Linked DNA regions of Xenopus tropicalis. The protein of the gene in region 2 binds, or shares a complex with, the protein of the main gene of each other region. Links are inferred from orthologs where the notes say so. Each region holds a gene or a part of one and is shown on either strand. Other genes may lie near its edges.

Region 1 (5,031 bases), on a different chromosome or scaffold from region 2:
ATTTGCATATGTTTCTTACCAATTTTCCCAGCACAGAAAATACGCCTGGTTGAGTTAAAGGTTTAGAAAGGCTGAAAATGTCTTGTATATAAATTCTGCAGTGTGCTTCAGAGCCTTACAACATGTATGTATGTATTGAACTGCATGTAAGATTTATGCCACTGATGACTGATGAGTTATTACTGTGCAAATCTGTTACTATACTGGAAATATTACATGCAGGAGGCTGAGATGGACAGAATTCCCAGTAAAAGTTGATCATCACCAAACAGGGCCCTAGTGCTGTACAAAGGACAGATTGTCCCAGAATATCCTTATAAATGAACAGTGGGACCGTATGAAGCCTTTGATTAATCTGCCCTTGTACTGAATTAGGTCACTGTTTGCTAACCACATTTTTAAAAAATGTGATCCCTTTCCCATCAATATGCCAGGGCTGATGCTGCATGTGAGGTGGCCGCTGTAACCCAGTTTCTATTCTTGGATCAGCCTAGGGGCACACTGGCCACACGTACTACTAACTTTTTTAGGGAATTTTTTTTAATGCACGTGCCCTCTCTAGGACTGGAGAGTAGAGTGTGTGAGTGGCAAATCAGATTTGTAATCACATACATTTTGTATGCATTAAAGCACTCAAAGGAAGGATTTGACATTCAACAATGAAAACTCCAGGATCAGGGTTTAGGCTCTTGGGATGAATCTCTCTATAACTATAACTCTGGGTTTCTATGCAGAGGGCAGGCCCGGACTGGCAATCTGTGGGTTCTGGCAAATGCCAGAGGGGCTGCTGTAAGATGCTATAGACAGTCACTATTTAGGGTCACTTTGTACTTGAAATGCCAGGGCCTCATTTTTGAATATCAGGCCTGGCAGAGCAGAGGGAGTCACTCTGCCGTATTTGCTGGACCAACAGTGCATTGAAATGCTAGATCCATGAAATAGAAATTGCAGTGGTCATTGTGTTATAAATTTCTGAAGCCACTTTGCAATAAATACTTGGGTTTCACTGTTATAAACAGCTGGAAACAAAATTTGTCAGGAAATGCTGTGGCCACTGTAAAATATATGTTTGAGCCACATTCTAATAAATTGTTGTGTTTAAACAGGCGTAGCATAGAAATCAGAAAAGCCAATGTTTGGATTGACATTCTCATAAAACTGCATCCTACTGAACCTTGAGCATCATAATACAGCAATGCTGTTAAGAAGCCATGCATATCCTCACCTTACACTCGCAGCCCATTTCATACCGCTGATTGAGACTCTTTTTCTGAGTTGGGCTAAGAGAATCCCATGGCACAATAAAGTCACAGAGGGTTACGTGCATCTTTCCATCACCATCTGCTTTACCTGAAGGGGCAGTAAATGGAAAGTGAAGGGTCAAGGCAGGAGATAAGATGGCATTATCAAACAGATATACAAACTTATCATACCTGCAATCAGATATTCCTTCTTTCCAGCAATTTCCAGTGTCACCCCGCACACTGCTGATGATGGAGCAGTGTAGATAAATTCTATATCCTTATCGGGTCCCTTAAACATCTGCAAGGATAGGCAGAGCAAATCATAATCAGATTTTAAGGACAAAAATGAGACATACAGGGAGGTTTTCAGATAAATAACTGATATATTGTGCAACATAACAACACTACTATTAAATTCAAAAGCAATTATGAGACCTATTTCTTCTTGTACTGCAATATTTTGAATACTTTTACAAAACTCCCATTAAGCCATCCCCATCCCAGTCTTTATAGTTATAGCAATATTTTGCTGGGAAATCTCAGTCACCACAGCCATGTTTTTATTTCTTTGCAGCCTGCCCTGTGGGTGGAAAGCCAAAGCCACAATCCAAATGACATGCAAGCTTGGGGGCAGCCTTCCTAAGCACACAGTGATGTATTTATAGGTGATGGGCAGCAGGTAGGACATCCCCTGTCTTGTAAGGTGCAAGCCAGCTAGAGTGTGCCATCAGCCCAAGGTGCAGCAGAGCCCTGTACTTAACCATGGAGCGATATCTGTCCAGATCATTTGCTCAACACATATGAACTGATTATCGTATGAAACCTTGTACATGTATGACGAACATTTTTGGTTCTTAAAGCTAACGTGGGTAGCCTTTTGGTTAAGTCCCACACTGCCATGTGTAGTTTTCACTTCCTAATGATGTATCCCACAAAATATGTATTCCACTGCAAAAGTCATGTTTGTGGCTAATTAAAATTGGTTACACGCCAAGTGAGTGTGGGCCTTTCCTATCTATTTTGCACTGGGATGATATAGTCACACCCTGTCCTGGGAACCTTCCTTGCTGTGTTTCACACCTTGCCTCATGGCAGGAGCAGGACTCAGGGTCGGTCTGGACCCTGCCAGGAACTGCAGCCACTCCCTCCACCCCCCATCCACATGGGCGAATGCAGTAAGATAGGCGGTACATACGTTCATCGCCATTGTTGGGCTCAGCCCAAAAAGGTGCAATTTATAGCCCCTAGTGCCCTAGTTCATGATTACATGGATTGCTGCTTGCATTGTATGGGTTCTGCTAGTTTGCAGCCTGCCAATGATCTCTGCCTGGTTATCAAATACCATTGTATAATGCCCTTTGGCCTGGACTCCGGTTCTGCTTTCCTTGTACCAGTCACACTGTCTTACTAGTCTGGTGTCTCAAGTGAGGTAGGCTCTCCATACAGTGTCAAAATAGGCAGGAGCTGGAGATTTATCAGCTGGGACGGTCAAATACTGGCTGGATGGCCCCACTGACCCAGGAACTTTGGCCGGTCCACATATATATATATATATTTTTTTATATATTTGTTGGGTTTTTTTTGACAATAATAAAAAAGGCACATTAAAAAAATCAAACCAGAACTTGCATTTTATTGAACTTTATTATTCTGTCATATGAACATTTCTGCATTCACACTCACACAGATAAATACACTTACATTACACAGTTACTCTGCACAGTACTCAGGCATAACACACTGCATCCACATATAAGTAACAGCTACATAAATACTTATAGAAACCTGTCAGCTTGGAGTAGACATTATTTTTCTTATATTTAGGGTTTATAAGGCTAAAAAACATTGATTACTGTATTTTGAGAGAATGTACCTCTGCTAATGTTGATTGGTACCTGAAAATAACTAGCAGATATGGAAAGGAAAATATATATATATATATATATATATATATATATATATATATATATATTATCTGAATTTTCAGATCATGGAACAACAGCCTCTGTATTAATGAACTCTCCCTACCTCCTCCAGCCAACTATACACGGTCATACAAATGTGACATTTCTGTAGTTGTACTTCATGGTACTTGACGCATAAGGAGGTTAGCCCTGTAACTTATGGGTGATGGTGCTGTGAGTGTGCTCTGCAGTAACACAAACAGCATTGGACAGTGGCCTCCTTCACAACTAGAAGTACATGGACCTCTTGCTTGAGTCTGAGAATCTCGGTACTCAGCAGCTTCAGCTTTTATTTATGGTTCCTTCTTCCGCGCAAGTGGGGGACAGTGAATCTACAAAAAGGAGTTTAAAAGGTTAATTTGCATTTATTATGAATTTATAGTGGTATCTCTCCCTGACCAAGGGCCAGAGACATTCCTCATGCACCAAGAAGATCACAAAAATGTCTGTCCTGTTGTTAGTTATGTTTTACAGCTTGAGCAAGAATGAGCAATTTCAACATGGAAAGCACTCCTGAGATAAAAAGCCATCATTAGCATCTTGGCCATAGAGCATACTACAGGATAGCAATGTTTCAAGGCAGACCCATTACCAGCTACTAAAAATTGCCAACATATTATAGCCTGTCTCACAGTGACCCCTTGTGGTTACATTGTAAAAAAAACACAATACTAATGTCACAACCATCAGATAAATATATAAAGTACAAGTATGGGACCCATTATCCGGAAACCTGTTATCCAGAAAGTTCAGACTTACAGAAAGGCAATCTACCATAGACTTCATTTTAATAAAATAATTTTTCTCTGTAATATTAAGACAGTACCTTGTACTTGATCCTAATTAAGATATAATCCATCATTTTTGGAGCCAAAACAACCTGAACATAAAGTTACTAGACCTGACTTTTACATTCTATGGTCATTTGTATCTGGGATCCCTCCTTTGAGCCATCACACTGGGGTTTATTAACAAACATGGCTCGTCTTTAGGACATTTTATCTGTGTAGCCATTAAGACAAGGGAAAATGCCCTGGCAGTTATCCTCCTACATAAACACAGATTACAGTTAAGTCAATAATTTTTACTAACAGTCTCTTAGGGCCGTGACACACGGGGAGATTAGTCGCGGGATTAATCTCCCCGCAATGCCATCCCACTGGCTATACTGTATACAGCTGGTGGGATGGCATACGCGGCGCCGCAATGTCCCGAAGTCGCCCGAAGTTTCCTCTCAAGACAGGATATCGCAGCGGCACGTATGCCATCCCACGGCCGATTTACATTCTAGCCGGTGGGATGGCATTGCAGGGAGATTAGTTGCCCGCGACAACAAAGATTTGTTGCGGGGCGACTTATCTCCCTATCTGCCACTGCCCTTAAGTATCAAATGTAAGAGATTATACCCAGCCAGGGGCGCTGATACCATGAGGAAAACCTTTTACCAGGGGTGGCAAAAAGCTACTTCTGCCAACTTTAAGAGTTGAAGTTCTGGTTATTTAACCAAAATCTTGGCTTTTCTAGTGCCTTCTGCATTAGTGAAGCAGCCCCCCCCCCCCCCCCCCCCCCCATGACCCGCTACAGGGCTGAATTTCTGAGCTGCCTCAGGATGTCCTAAGGCCCAGAAAGGCCCTTTACCTAGCTTTAAGCATGCGTTAAATAATGGGAGCAGTAAAAAAAGGCTTATGCAAAGGACTACCCAGTATGTTGCTTTGCGCAAGGTGCTACTTAGCTTAAGACAGGGCCTCTGTACAAAGATGCAGGAAAATGAAGTGGTATAAGGAAGGCTTGTGTTAAAAAAAGAACATTCCTCTTTTCCTCAG
Region 2 (5,805 bases):
CACTGTATTGATGTTGAAGTCACAACCTGCAACCTTGCAACTTTGGTAATCTTTTTCATGTATATTCAAGTTTAAAGAAAGCAAGAGGGGGGTAGAGGGTGAAAACAGTCTTATAACATACATCAGCAACTTAACAAGTTTACATCTATACACTACATAGCAGTATTTTGAATCCTGAAATCTAATATTCCTTCATTTCTGGGCTAGGGCCTGTGTTTCTAAGTTTGGGGAAGTGGAAGTTCCATTTATGTGAGAGAGGCCTTATTTTTCCTGGCCTGTATAAGGGTGAGCCATGATTCCCATATATTCCAGTAATCTTTACATTTATTGTGTATTACATGAGTTATTTTCTCTAATTTTCTTACTTCTTCTACTAAGGTAATGTATTTGAAATGCAGTGGAGGCTGAGAAGACCTTCACCATGTGGGTCTTTGCAGTGTGAAGAAGGTGTAAAGTAGGTAAATCAGGTAATGTAGTATTTTTTCGCTTGTTCACTTTGGAGTTAAGTTAAGTATGATGGGAAGACCAATATTCTGAGACAATTTTGAAATTTTTTTTTTTAGTTTTTTAATGATTCCAGTTTTTGTTTAGCAGCTCTCCAGTTTAGAATTTCAGCAACTAACTGGTTGCTAGGGTACAAATTCCTTAGCAACCAGGGAGTGGTTATAATGAGAGAATGCAATATGAATAGGCGAAAATCTAAATAAAAAAAAAGTAATAAAAAGAAAGAAACAACAGTAAAATTGTAGCCTTACAGAGCAACCATTTTTGGCTTCTGGGGTCAGTGACCCCCATTTGAAAGCTGGAGAGGAAAGCAAATAATTTAAAAACTATAAAAAAATAAGGAAGACCTATTGAAAAATTGCTTAGAATTGGCCATTCTATAAGATACTAAATGTTAACTTAACGGTGAACCACCCCTTTAACAGTTATTTTAGTACTTTTCCAATTTGGATTAGAGTTATTAGTAAAGTACCACTACTGTCTGTCATTTGTGGCCCTTTGCTTTAATTTCTTTATAAATGACCATGAGGTTGGCATTGTAATAGCTGACGATACTAAATTGTGCAAAACCATAACTTTCATGGAGGTTGTTGCCAATTTGTGGAGAGATTTGACTCAACTGGAGAAATGGGCAGCAATTGTCAAATGCAAGGTTCTACACATTGGCAGAAATATGAACATAAATGCTAGTTATACACTAAATTATAGCTCCTTAATTGAGAAGGATTTGTGGATTTTTGTGGATAACAAAGTGTGTAACTCCAGCCACAGTCAATAAATGGCTACTAAAGCAAATAAAGTACTCTCTTATATAAAAAAGAGCAGGACGCACCTTGAATATGCAGTGCATTTTTTGAGTACGTAAGATAAATATTAATGAGTTGCAGTTTACTTTAGAGGACATTATAGACTGATAGCAGGGAATCTTTTTTCCCATGGAAAACAAAGCCACCCCTTTTAACCTGAGGAGCTGAAATTTTATTTGAGCGGAAGTTTTTCACAGTGGGGGCAATACAGTTGTTGAATAATCTTCTGGGTGATGTTGTGATGGCATATTCTATTAATCCATTTAAGAGTGGCTTGGATGAACAAACATAATATCCAAGCCTAATAGGTTCATAGGATTTACAGTTAGTTTAGTATAGGTAATGGTATATATTGTTTATATATATATTATATATAATAGTGTATAGATAGGTCTTTATATGTCTGTGTATAAATATGCAATGGGGTTCATTTGCAAGGGTTAAACCTGACGGACTGTTTTCAACTATGTACCAAGACCAATAGGCTTTATTTTCTACTTTATCATAAAACGCAATTACATTTGATTGACATTATCTGTCCCTCATACATTCATTTATATTACTATTTGTAATGTCATTCCCAGAAAATAATCTTGAATATGATCCTTTAAAGAGATTTTGTCGTGATTTTATGGTGTACTTATTTCTAAATTACACTGTTTACATAGCAAATAATTCTCTCTACCATTTAAAATTTTATTCTCGAACCAAAAAATGTATTTTTTTAGTTGTAAAATTGGTGTGTAGACACAATTTCAGTGTATTGTGCCTGAGTCTGAGCTTTTCGTAAGAGCCAGTGCTACACATTAGAACTGCTTTCAGATAACCTATTGTTTCTCCTTCTCCCACGTAACTGAAGGAGTCCCAAGCCGGACTTGGATTTCTTACTATTAAGTGCTATTGTGATCTATACTGGGAGCTGCTATCTTGCTACATTCCCATTGTTCTGCTGATCGGCTGCTGGAGGGAAAGGGAGGGGATGATCTCACTCTAACTTTCAGCTCAGCAGTAAAGTGTGACTGAAGTTTATCAGAGCACAGGTCACATGGCTGTAGCACCCTCGGAAATGAGGAATATGGCTAGCCTCATGTGAAATGTCAAAATTAAATATAAAAAAATCTGTGTTTTTGAAAAATGGATTTCAATGCAAGATTCTGCTGGAGAAGCTCTACTAACTAAAGCATTTAAAAAAATGCTTGCCCACCATAGGTGTCAACTTATAGACCTATAATTGCCTATAATTGCCATCATATTACTTTTTTTTATATATTAGGATCACATCATCTTTTATTCAATCCCATACGTACAATAGCTATATCCATAAAAATAGTGGTAAGTAATATCACATGTGCTTACTGATTTTGCTTGTGTCACATGACTGACTAAAAGAAATGTATTACTAAAAAGAATCCTCTTTTTCTAAAAAATAAAAATATGGAATCTTATATCCTTTTACACAAATAATAATAAGTAACTAAATTAGTACCTTGTACATGCTGGTAACCAAGCAATCCTACTTGTTTAATTTAAAGGTTAAATGTTGATTAGAAGATTTCAGGTATGATGATCCAAATAATAAAAAAGAAAATTCTAGTTCTCCTGCATTCTCCATAATTGATCCCACACCACTATTAAAAGCTAAATCAGAGTTCCATTATCAATAACCACCCAAGAATCCACCATAACAAGTTTTGTTTTGTGCACTGTGTGAGCAGAATAGATTGTCCGCTAAGATTTGCTTGGATAAAGAATGATGCTGTTGTTATATTATGCTGGGCTATGTTTCATTAAAGAAGTACAGGAGCAACAAAACATTAGAAAAGATCAGATTTTGTTTCCTGCAGTAAACCAAGTATCTCAGCAACAAAAAAACATTTGGGGACTGATTTATTAACTATAAACTTCCTAAAACATGGTAATCCTTGTATTTTGATTAAAAAAATGACAAAAACCCATCCCAGTAAAAAAAAAAGGTCAGAAAGAAAAACTTTTGTTTTTTTCTGTTCAGCCCAGTCCTCTTGAAAATTAATGAAACAACCCCCTAGTTTATACAAATGATCTCTGTCCCTTGACTCTAACATACCCCTATGCTTATCTGTATTATAATTATAATGATATGTAGGCTGAAAGCACAGTAAAACTCCATTCAACAAACAATCCAACAAAGAAACTTTCTGTTCTTTTAGTATTTTTTTACCTTACAACAAAAAAGTAGCTGAATTATCCATTGGTACATGGATATTACAACTGTACAATGAAAGAGCCAACTTACCGCAGCAAATTCAACGTCTGACTTTGGAGATTTGTCTCCTGGAAACTTTATAATAGGAGATGGTGCAGAAGAAACATAATAAAATGTACTGAGACTTTTGAAAATGAAGACTAAAACATGAACATTAATAGTCCGCATGATGCAGCCTGAGTATCTGCCGAAAACCTTTATGGGTCTGTTCTAATAGATAAATGGACTGTTCATTCCAGTTGTCTGTATTGCAGTTTCTTTGTATGGAGAGCTATCCAGATGTACATTCTGCTGCTACCGCAAGAGGAAGTCTGGAAACATGAGAAGGGGAGAGGCCAGATGCTGCTGCCAAGTCTGTTTAACTCAAAGCTTGCTGGCAAAATCTGACATTCCTGTAAGGGAACTGCTGCCCCACCTCCACTTTCTTCACAAGTGGATAGTCTGAGTTGATTCAGAATAGCAGTACTTGTAATCAAAGACACTAAAACTATAAACTGGTTTCAGTGTTTGAATCTATTCATTAATTAATTTCTAAGGGACAAAACAGGCACACTATGGAAGCGTTATTCAATTTTAATTTTTATATTCACAGTTTTTCACATATGTAATGTAAATATTTGTGAGTGATTGTACAGAAAAAAACAAGAACATTGTATATTATGGGAAGTAGTAAGAAGCCAACAAAAGTCCTGGCATGGAACAAAAACTGTAGTGCTGTGTTAGCCAGTAGCAAAAATAATAAATAAAACCTACCTGTACTCACCTACAACCCACAGCTGAACATTATGAGAAAAATAGTCAGAGACCTGCAACCCATGCTCCATACAGATACCAGACTAAAGGAAATATTCTCTGATCTACCTCTATCCTGTGCAAAGATCAAATTGCAATACAAAATACATACCGATACACAAAAATTCGACACCATTTGAGACTGCTATTCTTGTGCTTCCTCCAAAGTGTTGTACATGATCATATGTACTAAGTGCTCTACAGGATGAATGTATATTGGACAAATAAGACAAAAACTTTGCACAAGGATGAACCATCACCAACATGAGATCAATACCAAAGTGTGCGATACACCAGTGGGAACACTTCTGCAATTAAAGGAACAGTAACACCAAAAAATTTATATATTTAAAAGAAATTAAACTATAATGTACTTCTGCCCTGCACTGGTACAAGTTGTGTATTTGCCTCAGAAACATTACAAGAGTTTATATAAACCCTGCTGTGTAGCCATGGGGGCAGCCATTCAAAAGAAGAAAAGGCACAGGTTATATAGCAGCTAACAGATAAACCCTGTAGAATACAATGGTGTCTTATCTGTTATCTGCTATGTAAACTGTGCCTTTTCTCCTTTTTTCCAGCTTGAATGGCTGCCCCCATGGCTACACAGCAGCGTATTTATATAAACAATAGTAGTGTTCCTGACGCGAACACACCAGTTTTACCATTGCAGGGCAACAGTACGTTATAGTAACATAGTAAGTTGGGTTGAAAAAAAGACATGCGTCCATCAAGTTCAACCATAATGCCTATATATAACCTGCCTAACTACTAGTTGATCCAGAGGAAGGCAAAAAAAACCCATCTGAAGCCTCTCTAATTTGCCGCAGAGGGGAAAAAATTCCTTCCTGACTCCAAGATGGCAATCGGACCAGTCCCTGGATCAACTAGTACTAAGAGCTATCTCCCATAACCCTGTATTCCCTCACTTGCTAAGAATCCATCCAGCCCCTTCTTAAAGTTATATAATGTATCAGCCAGCACGACTGATTCGGGGAGGGAATTCCAGAACTTCACAGCTCTCACTGTAAAAAATCCTTTCCGAATATTTAAATGGAACCTCCCTTCTTCATAGTTACATAGTTACATAGGGTTGAAAAAAGACCAGTGTCCATCAAGTTCAACCCATCCAAGTAAACCCAGCACACCCAACCCACACCTACCAATCTATACACTCACATACATAAACTATAAATACAACCACTAGTACTAACTGTAGATATTAGTATCACAATAGCCTTGGATATTCTGATTGATCAAGAACTCATCCAGGCCCCTCTTAAAGGCATTAACAGAATCTGCCATTACCACATCACTAGGAAGGGCATTCCATAACCTCACTGCCCTCACCGTGAAAAACCACCTACGCTGCTTCAAATGGAAGCTCCTTTCCTCTAACTAAAGGGGTGACCTCTGGTGCGTTGATTGTTTTTATGGGAAAAAAGAACATCCCCCAACTGC

Evidence for each region.
Region 1: the proteins of mmp2 (region 2) and timp2 are in contact, whole or in part, in a crystal structure (PDB 1GXD), measured with the Homo sapiens proteins. The link is inferred for Xenopus tropicalis from reciprocal best matches to the Homo sapiens genes MMP2 and TIMP2. Residues at the interface, in NP_004521.1 of Homo sapiens: Trp574, Lys576, Asn577, Lys579, Tyr581, Phe588, Arg590, Lys595, Asp599, Phe602, Lys604, Ile606, Ala607, Asp608, Ala609, Trp610, Asn611, Ala612, Asp615, Tyr636, Leu638, Leu645, Lys646, Ser647, Val648, Lys649, Phe650, Gly651, Ser652; in NP_003246.1 of Homo sapiens: Ile162, Pro163, Cys164, Tyr165, Ile166, Pro169, Leu173, Met175, Val178, Thr179, Phe191, Arg196, Asp198, Ser200, Cys201, Ala202, Trp203, Tyr204, Arg205, Ala208, Lys211, Gln212, Glu213, Phe214, Leu215, Asp216, Glu218.

The regions. Positions count from the first base shown.
Region 1 is NC_030686.2:22,358,671-22,363,701, forward strand, and holds part of timp2 (metalloproteinase inhibitor 2 precursor), read right to left. Parts: intron 1,543-5,031; coding exon 1,434-1,542; intron 1,351-1,433; coding exon 1,226-1,350; intron 1-1,225. UniProt on the Homo sapiens protein: Complexes with metalloproteinases (such as collagenases) and irreversibly inactivates them by binding to their catalytic zinc cofactor. Known to act on MMP-1, MMP-2, MMP-3, MMP-7, MMP-8, MMP-9, MMP-10, MMP-13, MMP-14, MMP-15, MMP-16 and MMP-19.
Region 2 is NC_030680.2:42,693,406-42,699,210, reverse strand, and holds the start of mmp2 (72 kDa type IV collagenase precursor), read right to left. Parts: upstream 3,748-5,805; 5' UTR 3,721-3,747; coding exon 3,583-3,720; intron 1-3,582.